2 linked regions of the Sus scrofa genome follow. The protein of the gene in region 1 binds, or shares a complex with, the protein of each later gene. Links are inferred from orthologs where the notes say so. Each region holds a gene or a part of one and is shown in the gene's direction. Other genes may lie near its edges.

Evidence for each region. The genes of interacting proteins can lie anywhere in the genome.
Region 2: POLR1C (region 1) and ZNRD1 share a complex: the UniProt entries of both Homo sapiens proteins name them as parts of the pol I pre-initiation complex. The link is inferred for Sus scrofa from reciprocal best matches to the Homo sapiens genes POLR1C and POLR1H.

Annotation. Positions count from the first base shown.
Region 1 is NC_010449.5:38,509,091-38,515,555, forward strand, and holds the start of POLR1C (DNA-directed RNA polymerases I and III subunit RPAC1), read left to right. Parts: upstream 1-2,430; 5' UTR 2,431-2,494; coding exon 2,495-2,578; exon of another isoform or gene 2,579-2,650; coding exon of another isoform or gene 2,651-2,683; intron 2,684-2,704; coding exon 2,705-2,776; intron 2,777-6,465. Other genes in the region: protein YIPF3, read right to left, coding at 1,028-1,134, 1,326-1,523, 2,118-2,198. UniProt on the Homo sapiens protein: DNA-dependent RNA polymerase catalyzes the transcription of DNA into RNA using the four ribonucleoside triphosphates as substrates.
Region 2 is NC_010449.5:22,624,302-22,630,877, forward strand, and holds the start of ZNRD1 (DNA-directed RNA polymerase I subunit RPA12), read left to right. Parts: upstream 1-2,569; 5' UTR 2,570-2,702; intron 2,703-2,815; 5' UTR 2,816-2,835; coding exon 2,836-2,971; intron 2,972-3,195; coding exon 3,196-3,296; intron 3,297-3,633; coding exon 3,634-3,743; intron 3,744-6,576. UniProt on the Homo sapiens protein: Core component of RNA polymerase I (Pol I), a DNA-dependent RNA polymerase which synthesizes ribosomal RNA precursors using the four ribonucleoside triphosphates as substrates. Can mediate Pol I proofreading of the nascent RNA transcript.

The DNA of each region.
Region 1 (6,465 bases):
CATTCCTCTAGGCCCCACTGAGCATTTTCTTGAAAAATGTACTTGAAGTAATATGAACATTGCAGGTAGAAGGAATAAAAGTACCAATCACTTCTCCACTTCTTAAGTGACTGGCTCCTAATAATACCTTGGATCTTGGCTAGATTTTTACTTTCTCTTCAAAAGCTGCCCTGTCCCACCCTCCAGCCAACCCCTCATCAGGTGTCCCTCCTACATGGCAAATGAGTGCTCCACGGCTGTGCCCGAGGATAAGGTTCCCATTTGTCGTCACCACTAAATCAGACACAACTGTAGGATCTGACACAGAGCAAAAGCTTAGTAAATACTTGTAGAGTGGTACTGGGTGTTTGATAAGCATTAGCTGAATTAAAGGATGAACAAAGAATCAAAGCAAGATTAAATCTGGTTTTTGAAACATAACTTGACAACAATGTACCAATGGTCTGGTTCAGAGACTATTTTAGTGCTGGGAATAAAAAGACAAGGAGGAGTTCCCACTGTGGTGCAACTCGATCGGTGGCAGCTCTGGAGCACTGGTTCAACCGCCCAGCCCGGAAGAATGGGTTAAGGATCCAGCATTGCCACAACTGCAGCATAGGTTGAAACTGCAGCTGGGATCTGATCCCTGGCTGGGGAACTCCACATGCTGTGGGGTGGCGACAAAAAGAAAGAAAAAAGATAAAACAGAGCCTGCTTTTTGAGGAGGTCTCTGGGGAGACAGACCCAGGAATGACAAAGTACAGCATCGCTGAAGTGCTGTCTGCTAAAGGAAAGCAAAGCCCTAGTGGAGCATCAGGAAAGGAAAGGATAAACTTGGAACAGGGAGCAAAGGAAGTGACATTTGAGCTAGGTTTTGAGGAAAGATGAGAAGTTTGCTAGATGGAGAAGAGGAGGAAGGTGTGTTCTCGCCAAGCCCTGTTCTGTGACTGGAATCATGAAGAGGGGATTCTAAGGGCTTGGAGTCTGCTTGTAGAGTGGATGAAGGGCTAGATGTCAGGAAGGCAGCTTCGGTCAGGAGGATCCTCACCTGCTTCGCACCTGTGCAGGCTCCACATCAAAGTAGGGTCTCAGGATGTCGATGTTGGCGTACAAGCTGAAGGCCCTAGAGGCTTGTCTCTTCCCCGCCTGCCACATCTGAAGCAAGGAAGACCGGGTGGGGTGGGAGGGTATCGTGAGACTCTTGGCTTTAAGGCCCTTTTGCTTATTTCTTGTTGGATCTCTACATGGTTCTAACTGGACAAGCTGGGGTGAACTTCACTAATACCAACTCAGAACCAGAGGCCTCAGGATACTTTTCCACCTGTCAGAGAGCCAGTCTTGCTTACCTGATCAGCCACCTGCCGGCTCAGCTGTCCCTTAAAGCCCTTCATGCCCAGAAACTCCCCATCCTCTTCTTCAGCGGCAGCTGCATCAGCATCCACTTCTTCCTCACGCAGGCGCTGATGCAGCTCACCCATATCCTCGAAGCTGGAACCTGAAGTATCATCCATGTTCTCCATGTCAATCACAGCTGAGCCCCCACCCTGTGAAGACAACGGATCCCACAGTGGAGGACCTTTCTGCTCCATCCGTTATGTCCTTCTCTGTTCACCGGAGAGCTTGGAGCTTTGTCCTTTCACTGCTGGAGATACGGCTTAGAATTACCATAGACCATGCCACTCCCCTCCCCTCAACTGCTCTCAGAACCTTTGTTTGGCTCTCTTTTCCAGCCTGGGAAACCTACTCCCTGTCTTCCATACGTGTCCTTTTCCTACCAAAGCCACAAAAGGCTGCAAAAGTGCCCATTTCCTTTGTGTTTTCCACCCCAAAACAAGGCTGCGCGCACAGTGTGGTTTTGGCCAGTGAATCCCGCCTACCCCCCATCCCACCCTCGCCCCTGGCCGTGCCCGACCTTCTAAGTTGTGCGGAAAGCAAGAGCAAGGGGGCTCAGAGGTACTAGTGTGGACCTTTTAGGTCCGCACTAGTTCCACTGCCTTTCACGTGCACGAAGACCCAAAGAAGACAAAAAGTTCTGCAAACGGAGCAGACTTCCAAGGCTCGAAGGAAGAGTCCCCATGACACTTCAGGACAGCTGCAGGCCGTGGGGCTGCTGGCAGCCGGAGCCGTGGGGCGCTTACCTGGATGTTTTCATCGAATCCTCCCCATTCCGGGCCAGCCCCATTTCGGGCGCCGCCGGCCGGCGCCGCCGGAGTTGCCATGTCCCTCGAGGGCTCCCGTCGCTGAAGCCCGCGCTAGTCCCGCGCGCTGAGGAGGAGTGGGAGAGATGAGGGCCTGACGGATGGACAGGTCCAGGGACTAGAAAGAAAGGTGGGATCGGCCGGAACGCAAAAAGGAGAAAACCGGATGTTTGGTTAAAACTGACTTCCGGTATCTGAGGACGTGGACGGAGGCGGGGCAGATTCTCGCGATATTTAGGATTCCGGGAGGTGGTGTGTTGCCACGGAGACGGGGCAGGGAGACTAGAACGCACGCGCAGGCTTGGTACTCTAGTCACATGGTGGAGTTGAAGATGGCGGCGGCTCAGGCTGTGGAGGAAATGCGGAGCCGCGTGGTTCTAGGGGAGTTCGGGGTTCGCAATGTAAGTCTTGTGGACTTGACCTCGGGAGGAGAAATCAGAGCGGAGCAGGGATGAGTTAGAGTCGGAGTGGGGATGAATTTGGCCTCGCTGCTCCTTCGCGAACAGGTTCGTTTCTCTTTGCTCTAGGTTCATACTACCGATTTTCCCGGTAACTATTCGGGCTATGATGATGCCTGGGACCAGGACCGCTTCGAGAAGGTGGGTAGAGCTGGAGGTGTTCAGAGAGGGTATGAGGATCGGATCTTGCACTCTGAACATCCTGTTCCTCGGAAACTGCCTTGGGGGTTCGCTCTGGATGTGTTAGGCACTCGATGTGCACAATTTCTGCTTTGTTCTACAAGCTAACGAGATGGTTCGGTCTTTTTGGAAAAGAGTACAGGTAACACGACTCTAGTGAGTTGTGGTAAGGGCGATTAACAGCAATAAAGATTGAAGCTGCACTCCCTTTCGGGTGGGACTCGAACTCAGCCAAAACCCCCATTGGAACTTGAACCCATGGTCCCTGACGTAGGAGGGGACTCAAACCCACTGTCTTAATTGATACCGCTCACCTGCTATCGTCAGGACTTCCTGAGCCTCAGGTTTTGTCTCGTGGGAAAAAGAATTCAGCGTGAGGCAAACCGATACACAATAAGTGAATTTATTAGCATAGGACGCTTGTCAGAAATACTAATGAGCAGGCAAGGGAGTGCGACCCAGAGAACAAAGAGGGCTACATTTTTATAATCAAGGTGAAAGTGGGGCGGGGAGAAGACCACCTTATTTCTCATTCTTGGGTAAGATGGTCCAGGCTTGCATCATCAGTTCCTCCTTTGACCCTATATGGTCTAAGGGGGAGTGTCATGGGCTGTTTAAATCATAGGTATATTAGCAGAAGCGGTAACATATGCGAAAATGTGGTAATTCGTTTCAGGTTGCAGAATAATTTCCCCTTTCACCTAGTTTTTTCCCTCTTTCACCTTGTCTACATGCAGCAATGCCAGTCTTCAAGGACCAATAACTCTGACTTCATGTAACAAGATTGAAACCCCATATCTCTTGTCTTGGGTTTTAACTATCAGGACTTGTGGCTTGTTTCTGGTGCTTAGATACACCTGGTCTTCCTTCAAGGTGGTGTAGATTGTTGCTAAGTTACTGGATTCTTAAGTGGTCGGTTGTTGGCTTACAGCAGTCTTCAAACCCCCTTAACATTTCCTTTTTGTCTTTAAACCCTAGTGGGACTTCTAAACTATGTGATTATCCTACTCTATCCCCATCATTCCTTCCTCCAGCTGTTTTACTCCATTATGCTTAAATGAGCAAATAGGGAGAGACCGATCATTAGCTGCTTCCTCCTGAGATGGGTCATAGGTCTGTCTAGAGAAGGAGCATAACACCTGTCCCTCCTCTGTTGGGAAAATAATAAGCCAATGCTGCTTGTTAGTGTTAACCTTGTGGCTTCTGTTGATCTTCCGCATCAGATGATAAATCTATTAAAGAAATCAAGAGAAACGCAGCAGTAAGCAATTAAAAGAGATTGTAGCCAAGATTTTGGGGATCCATTCCTTCATTCCTCCAAAAGCCCTCCCAAATCTGGAAGAAGGCAACTGAAGGTCTCAATCTGTGTTTGTGTTTTAGCACTTGAAATACATTAGCAGATTCATCAAGAATAAAAGCACAAGATTCCACCTTAATGATGGCACAGTTTCCTTCCTGGGAGGCTGTAATAATGTCTAAGGCTATCCTGATTTGTAGAATGGCTTTTCTCATTAAAGTCATTTCAACATTGGGTAAAGAAATAGCATCCAGGAGTTCCCATCGTGGCGCAGTGGTTAACGAATCTGACTAGGAACCATGAGGTTGCGGGTTCCATCCCTGGCCTTGCTCAGTGGGTTAAGGATCCGGCATTGCCATGAGCTGTGGTGTAGGTCACAGATGCGGCTTGGATCCCGCGTTGCTGTGGCTGTGGTGTAGGCTGGCAGTTACAGCTCCTATTAGACCCCTAGCCTGGGAACCTCCATATGCTGCGAGAGCGGCCCAAGAAATAGCAAAAAAGACAAAAAATAAAATAAAATAGAAATAGCATCCAGCATAGTCCACCTTAATGATGGCACAGGTTCCTTTCTGGGAGGTTGTGATAATGTCTGAGGCCATCCTGATTTGTAGAATAGCTTTTCTCATTGACGTCATTTCATCGTTGAGTAAAGAAATAGCATTACCTTCTTTTTTTTTTTTATTTTTTAAAAAAATGACTTTCATTCAAAGTCTCCTGTGTAAATTTTGTTAAAGTTTCAATATGAGCTGCAACATTTTCAAGACCTAAACCTGGCGTAAAGATGTTTAGCAAGTGATCATACCAATGAAAAACAGACCAAGTCCATTTTGCTTTTAGCAAGGGGAAGTTGGCAGGAGAATAATTCAGAGGATAATAATCATAATGCATATTTGTACTATTCTTTGAATGTATTTTGTTCCTTAATAGTTAAAGCAGATGTACTTCCTCCCTCTCTATGTGCTTTTTAGGGCCTCACCCTCAGCATATGGAAGTTCCCAGGCTACAGCTGTTCTCAGAGCTACAGCTGCCTGCCTCCGCCACAGCAACTTGGGATCCGAGCAGTCTACACCACAGCTCATAGCAATGCCGGATCCCTGATCCACTGATTGAGGCCAGGGATCAAACCTAAATCCTCATGGATGCTAGTCGGATTTGTTTCTGCTGTGCCACAATGGGAACTCCCACAATATATATTTAATAGGCCACAAATAGGCTGTTTTGGGTCAGCCTAGATTTCAAATTAAGTAATGTATAAGCCAGAATCATTTCTTCATACTTGAATATGTGAAAATTTTCTTCCATCATTTCCCCCATTTAGGTGTAAATCTCTCCATAGAAGGTGTTGGTTTTTTCATTGTTGCTAGGAGTGATGCAGCTGCTTGCTTCTGGTCCATTCATGTCCCTTGGTGCTAGGCTTACCCTTTTTTTTTTTTTTTTTTTTTGGCTTTTTAGGGCCGTACACATGGCATATGGAGGCTCCCAGGCTAGGGATCCAATCAGAGCTACAGCTGCCAGCCTCCGCCACAGCCACATCAACCTGGGATTTGAGCCCTGTCTGACACGTACACCACAGCTCAGGGCAATGCCGGATCCTTAACCCACAGAGCAAGGCCAGGGATCAAAGCCACAACCTCATGGTTCCTAGTTGGATTCATTAACCACTGAGCCTCCACAGGGACTCCCTAGGCTTACTTTTTGTTATTTATGTTTGCCTAGTTCTCCACATTGGGAGGAAAACTAATCAGATGTGACAAACCAGTACAAAGAGGTGTGCTGACAGGGAAACATTTTATCGGTTATACCCAGCTGTCACTCAAGCACTTATACATCATGAGTAATTGTAATCTGTGGAAACTCCATTAGAGGCACAGCAGGTTATGGATTCAGCCTTGCCACGGCTTTGGCACAGGCTGCAACTGTGGTGTGGCATCAATCCCTGGCTCAGGAACTTCCACATGCGGCAGCCACAGCCAAGATAAAGAAAAACAGGGGTGAGGGGAGGAGTTCCTTTTGTGGCTCAGAGGTTAACAAACCCAACTAGGATCCATGCAGATGCGGTTTGATCCCTGGCCTCACTCAGTGGGTTAAGGATCCAGCGTTGCCGAGAGCCGTGCTGTAGGTCGCAGACGTGGCTCGGATCTGGCATTGCTTTGGCTGTGGTGTAAGCCGGCAGCTGTAGCTTCATTTTGACTCCTAGCCTAGAAACTTCCATATGCTGCAGGTACAGCCCTAAAAAGGAAAAAAAAGAAAAAGGGGGAGAAAGGAAAACTCCGTTAGAAAAATAGTTTCCTATTTTAAACACTGAGGGCAAGTGTCATTACAAGTGGGACAATAACTTTCTGGTGCTGATAAG
Region 2 (6,576 bases), about 16 Mb from region 1:
ATGACATAGTATTTTCAGATACCCTGAGCACATCCTCTTGTATACCTTAAATTATCTCTCCTTTACTTGTAATACCTACTACAATGGAAAAATTTTGTAAATAGTTGCAAATACAATGTAAGTAGTAAGTACAACATAAATACTATGCAAATAGTTGCCAGTGCAGGGCAAATTCAAGTTTTGAATTTTTTTTTTTAATCTTCTTAGATTTTTTTTTTTTTAATCTTCCACCCACAGTTGGTTGAATCTGTGGATGGGGAATCCTCATATACAGAGGGCCAACTGTAATCCTTTCATATAAACTAACAGCATACTTCTCCTGTGGATTCAAGGCGAACCATTCTGAATCTTGCACCAGGGATTGGGAGAAGGAAGAGACAGGCTTCTTGGTGAAGCAATGCCCAAGCCCATCTCTGACATATTGCTCAGTCCCATAGCTTCTGTTGTCTTCTGAGATAATTCTAGGCTTTGGTATTATCAGTTCATTCTCTTTGTGCAGTTTCTGGAGCCGGGCCCTCTCTGCCTCTATCACAACATACAGCATCTCTACCCTATAATCTTTCGTTCTGATATTCTGCTATTTGATGGTGAAATTCTGTTCTTATTTGATCAACCACCAGTCTGCTTGTCTGCTTTACTCTGCCAATCATCCTTTACCCTAAATCCATTATGAGGCCATTCCCTGTTGACCTCCTTGGGATGAAAATTTGTGGTTACTCTGGGTTTATTTATAGGACAGGCTGATGGCAACACAAGTGAGGACTATCAGGTTTTGTGTGTCATCTCTGGTCTACTGTGAGGTCGTAGCTAAGCCACTGAGGATGCCTGGCATTTCATCTCTACGCCTTTATTTATACAAGTTATGGTTTAGAGCATGGGCTTTGGAGCCTGACAGGCCTATGCTTGAATTTTAATTCCCAGGTGTGTGATTCAGGGCAAGTAACAATCTCTCTCTAAACAGTTTCCTCGTTGAAAAAATGTACCTCTTGGGGTTATAAAGAATAAGTGACAATTAGATTAAAGAGCCTGGCACAATGCTTAAAATACAGTAAGGTCTCAATAAATGGCAGTTGTCTATCCTCCATAGGTCAAGCTCCAGACTATTAAGTCTGCCCAGTCTACTCTATGTATCAGTGAGGTTTTGGGTTTTTGTTTTTTGGCACCCCGCAGCATATGGAGTTCCTGGGCCGAGAACAGATCTGAGCCACAGTTGCAACCTAAGCCCCAGCTGAGGCAAAGCTGGGTCCTTAATCCATGGTGCCAGGCCAGGGATTGAACATTTGTCCCAGTGTTCCCAAGACGCTGCCCATCCCATTTTGCCATAGAGTGGAACTCCTGTATCAGTGATTTTTGCCTTCCGATGAATACAAAGTAAAAAATAGAAGTAAAAAATATAACTTCTACAATTTATTTGAAAATCAGTCATGGGAGTTCCTGTTGTGGTGCAGCAGAAACAAATCCAACTAAGAACCATGAGGTTGCGGGTTTGATCCCTGGCCTCGATTAGTGGGTTAAGGATCTGGCCTTGCCCTGAGCTGTGGTGTAGGTCACAGACATGGCTCAGATCCTATGTTGCTGTGGCTGTGCCATAGGTGGGCAGCTGTAGCTCTGATTCAACCCCTAGCCTGGGAACCTTCATATCCTGTAAGTGCAGCCCTAAAAAGCAAAAAAAAGCAAAAACAAAAAACAAAACAAAACAAACAAACAAACAAACAAACAAAAGGAAAAACAAAAGAACAAAACGAAACATAGCTCAAGCAACAGCAAAGCCAGATCGTTAACCCACTGAGCGAGGCCAGAGATCGAACCCACAACCTCATCGTTTCTAGTCGGATTTGTTTCTGCTGTGCCACAACATGAACTCAAAATACAAAAAACATTTTGATGCTGAAATTTAAACATATAAAGAGTGGGAACTATGATTTTTAATCTACAAATACCATGATCTCTCTCTTTTTTCTTTTTAAGGCTGCACCTGTGGTATATGGAAGTTCCCAAGCTAGGGTCTGAATCAAAGCTGCAACTGTGATCTACACTATAGACAAGGCAACAGCCACCAAAGCACATGAGCCATACCGGGTCCTGCAGAGAGCCCTTGCTTGGGTCGCAAGGCCCAAAGAATGCTAGAATTACTCCCAGAATATTTCGCTTTGTTTTCTACCACTGTCCAACCGCCACAGTGAAGTGCAGATTCAGGAACCGCTGGAGTTTGCAGTTCTCCAGTCCAAATAAATAAATTAGTACTCTATAAGGTTGGTCCGACTTCTCAGGAGAAACGCTCCCCGCGACTGGGTCCTGGTAAAATTCGAGACCAATAAAATAAACATCCCAGGACTGAGTCCTGAAGGGAAAAAATAACCTGAGGCAGGCGCAGCTTCGTCACCTATTTTCGTATCCAACGTAACAGAACCAGGCTGAAGGGGGCGCCACAATCTTCCTTCAGAACCGCTCCTCTCCCTCTCCAGGCTCTCGGGATCACAGTTGCAATTAATTATGACGTCACAGCCAATCGAGAGCCGGGACGCGTGGACTCTCTAGCCCGCCACGCGCTCGCTGCTCGGTTGCCCGCGCGGAGCCGGCGCTCTAGCCCGTGAAGTTGACTTGCTCCTCTCGCCTGCCCCAGGAAAGACCCCCAGCGTAGTTGTACCCGACGCGGGATAGGGATTCCGGAAGTTTGGGCTCCTTAGTCACAGAGGCACAAGGTATGCGTAGGAAGAAATCTCGGGTTCTGCATGCTTACGTCCAGGGACAGAATAGGCATGACCTCTCTGGGGAAGGGGCTACTCTCTTAATAAACTCCTCATCCCCTTCCCAGCCCTCGACCACCCGTCTGTCATGGACCTCGCCCGCACATCCTCTAGCTTTCAGTCGGACTTGGATTTCTGTCCGGATTGCGGCTCGGTCCTGCCTCTGCCCGGGACTCAGGATGCGGTCATTTGTACTCGCTGTGGCTTCTCCATCAACGTGCGGGGTGAGGTGCTGCTACGCCGCGGCTGGGGCGGAGGAGGGCCCATGGGGATCTCAAGATCGATTGGATTAAAGACGGGGACCCGAAAGCGCAGGATCAGGCACTTATACTTTTGGTCGGCACGAAACCTGATGGGTAGAATATAGCTTCCTGGCCTAACAGAGAGGGATTAGTGTGGTGTCAGCCCCCTCCGCTGTCTCCACAACCAATTCTTACTGCCCGCGCAGACTTTGAGGGGAAGGTTGTGAAGACCTCAGTTGTGTTCCAGAAAGTGGGGACAGCCATGCCTATGTCGATGGAGGAAGGACCTGAGTTCCAGGGACCCGTGGTAAGTGAATCACGTCGAGGACTGGCCCTGTAAAGAGGGTGGGAACGAAACGGAGGGCTCAGATCTGGAGAGTTTTGTACACAACAGGGAAGAAGAGTCTTTAAAACAGTAGTGACTGGGGAGAGTTTTCTTGTGGTGCAGCCGGGTGTTAAGGATCTGGCCGGCATTGTCACTACAGCGGTTTAGGTCGCTTCTGTGGCACGGGTTCGATCCTCGGCCTGGAAACTTACACGTACTGCAGGTGCAGCAAAACAAAAACCAGCAGTATCTGAGGAGTGTGGTAGCTTGATGTCTGTGAGAAGTAGTGGGAATTATTAACCTACCAGTTGCTTCCCAGGTTGACAGGCGCTGTCCTCGTTGTGGTCATGAGGGAATGGCATACCACACCAGACAGATGCGCTCAGCCGATGAAGGGCAGACTGTCTTCTACACCTGTACCAACTGCAAGTGCGTATCCTTTCCCTCCATTCTGCCCCTTCTGGGTCTCTTTGCTGCCAAAATCCCGTGATTTAATTTAAATCCAGTGGTTTAATTTTTGTACTTTTTGGACTGGTCGCATCCTTCATTTCTGTACAGTTCAAGTAATAGGTTTGTGATCGTTTTCTTCCTTCCTTCCATCCTTTCTTTCTTTCTTCCTTCCTTTCTTTCTTTCTTTCTCTCTCTCTCTCTCTTTCTTTCTTTCTTCCTTCCTTCCTTCTTTCCTTCCTTCCTTCCCTCCCTCCTTCCTTCCTTCCTTCCTTCTTAGGGCTGCACCCCGTGGCATATGGAGATTCCCAGGCTAGGGGTCACATCCGAGCTGTAGCCTCTGGCCTCACCACAGCAACAGCAACGCCAGATCACAGCAACACCGGATCCCAGCTGCGTCCACAACTTACACCGCAGCTCACAACAATGCCAGAGCCTTAACCCACTGAGTGAGGCCAGGGATTGAACCACATGGTTCCTAGTCGGATTTGCTTGTGCTGCTGTGCCACGATGGGAAGTTCTGTGGTCTTTTTAAATTTTAAATAATTACTCTTTTCCTATCTTTTTATACCCAGTGAATTAAACCTTTTACAATAGTTAAAAGGAAATGAGTATTGGTTTGTGATCAGTGTGTTATGTTGGACTCCTCCACTGCCCTCAAGGTAGTTTTACTTTGGTGAGAGTCAGTCATGGATGATTTAAAAAACATGGGTTCTTTATTTTTATTTCTTTATTTTTTTTTGTCTTTTTGCCTTTTCTAGGGCCGCTTCCCGAGGCATATGGAGGTTCTCAGGCTAGGGTCTAATCAGAGCTGCAGCCGCTGGCCGACGCCACAGCCACAGCAATGTGGGATCCGAGCCAAGACTGCAACCTACACCACAGCTCACAGCAATGCCAGATCCTTAACCCACCGAGCAGCCAGGGATCGAACCCACAACCTCATGGTTTCTAGTCGGATTCGTTAACCACTGCACCACGACGAGAACTCCCAGAACATGGGTTCTTTAAAACATAGTTTTAAGAATTCCTCTTTGTCTTTGGTGTCCTTCAATTTCACTACAATCTATCAAGATGTGGCTTTCTTTTATTTATCCTGTTTGGGATGTGTTGGGCCTTCCAACAGTGAGGGTTGACCTTTTTTCCCCCATCAACCTTGGAAAATTATCAGCTGTTATCACACTGAATATTTCCCTCATATGCTCAGTTCTCATATTCTTAGAGTTCTAACTGATTAGCTCTTTATTAGGCCTTATCTTCTATCCTCCATTTCTCTCACCCTGTCTCCCATATTTTCCATCTCTTTTCTCTTTATGCTGTTTCTGGATAGATTTTTTAGTTCTGTTTGATTTTTTTGTGGCCATGCCGGCAACATGTGGATATTCCTGGGCCAGGGATCAAACCCTAGCCCCTGCAGTGACAGTGCTGGACTTTAACCCACTGCACCACAAGGGAAATCCTGATTATTTTTCAAATCATCTTAGTTATTTTTAATAATTCCCAATTCCTTAATCATATTTTAAGTGGTTCTTTTTATTCATAAAACATATTACATGTAAACATTAAACATGATATTTATGTTCTATGTCTGTTAATTCTCAAACCCACTGTTTTTGTGGGTCTGATGCTGCCATCTGTTATTTCTGCTGACTCCCTCATGGTGCTGCTTTTGTTTTGTGCTTTTTTTACTATAAGCTCAGATTTTTAAAAGTTTGAACTATGGGAATTCTTTGAGGCTTGTGGTGAATGCTGTATATTCAGCATTTGCGTTTACTGTTTAGCTGCCTTGAGGCAGTACCAAGGCGGAATCACTAAGTTAATTCTCAGCTTTGGGAGCACCTAGGTAACATGGATTTTGGCTGCAAATCCAGTATAAAGGCCAGGTTATGGTTAGAAATTCTCAGGGGACTTTTTTTTCCTCCCTCTACCTAGTGAGACAGATTTCTCTTCAGCAGAGAAAATTTTTTTTTTTTTTCTTGCTCACTTTTATACAGAAGGGTAAGCCCTTTGGGGAGCTCAGACTTATGCAGACAGAGTATCTCCTATCAATATTGCAGGTTCATCTCTGGTTCTTCCATGTGGCTGTCAAAGCAGCAAGGGCTTGGGAGCTGGGAGGAGGATGGTTTCCTTTTTTCGTCTGTGCCAGCAGCATATGAAGTTCCTGGGCCAGGGGTTGAACCCATAGCGCAGTTGTGACCCTGGTCACAGCTTCAGCAAGAGGGGATTCTTAACCCACTGAGCCATCAGGGAACACCCAGGGCTTCAGTTTTAACTTACCTTCTAGGTTTCTGGTTTTACATCACTTCACCCAATGTGAAGATTGCCTTTACTTTCTTGACATCTCATTAATGGATTAAAATATTTATGGTTATATCTTTTGAGAGCATTTTTTCCCCAGTCTGACCTATTTATTTTCTAACTTTTTTTTAATGGTATTATTTTTTCTGCGTATTTTTTTCTTGGGCCGCTCCTGCGGCATATGGAGATTCCCAGGCTAGGGGTCCAATCGGAGCTGCAACCACCGGCCCATGCCAGAGCCACAGCAATGCGGGATCCGAGCGCGTCTGCAACCTACACCACATTTCACGGCAACGCCGGATTCCTAACCCACTGAGCAAGGCCAGGGATCAAACCGGCAACCTCATGGTTCCTAGTGGAGTCGTTAACCACTACGCCACGACGGGAACTCTCTAACTTTTTTTTAATGAGCATAAGTTTTTAATTTTTATGAGGTCTGGTTTATCTTTTTTTTTTTTTTCTTTTCTTTTATGGCGAGTGCTTTTTTGTTTTCTAAGAGATCTTGGCATCCTTCATAATT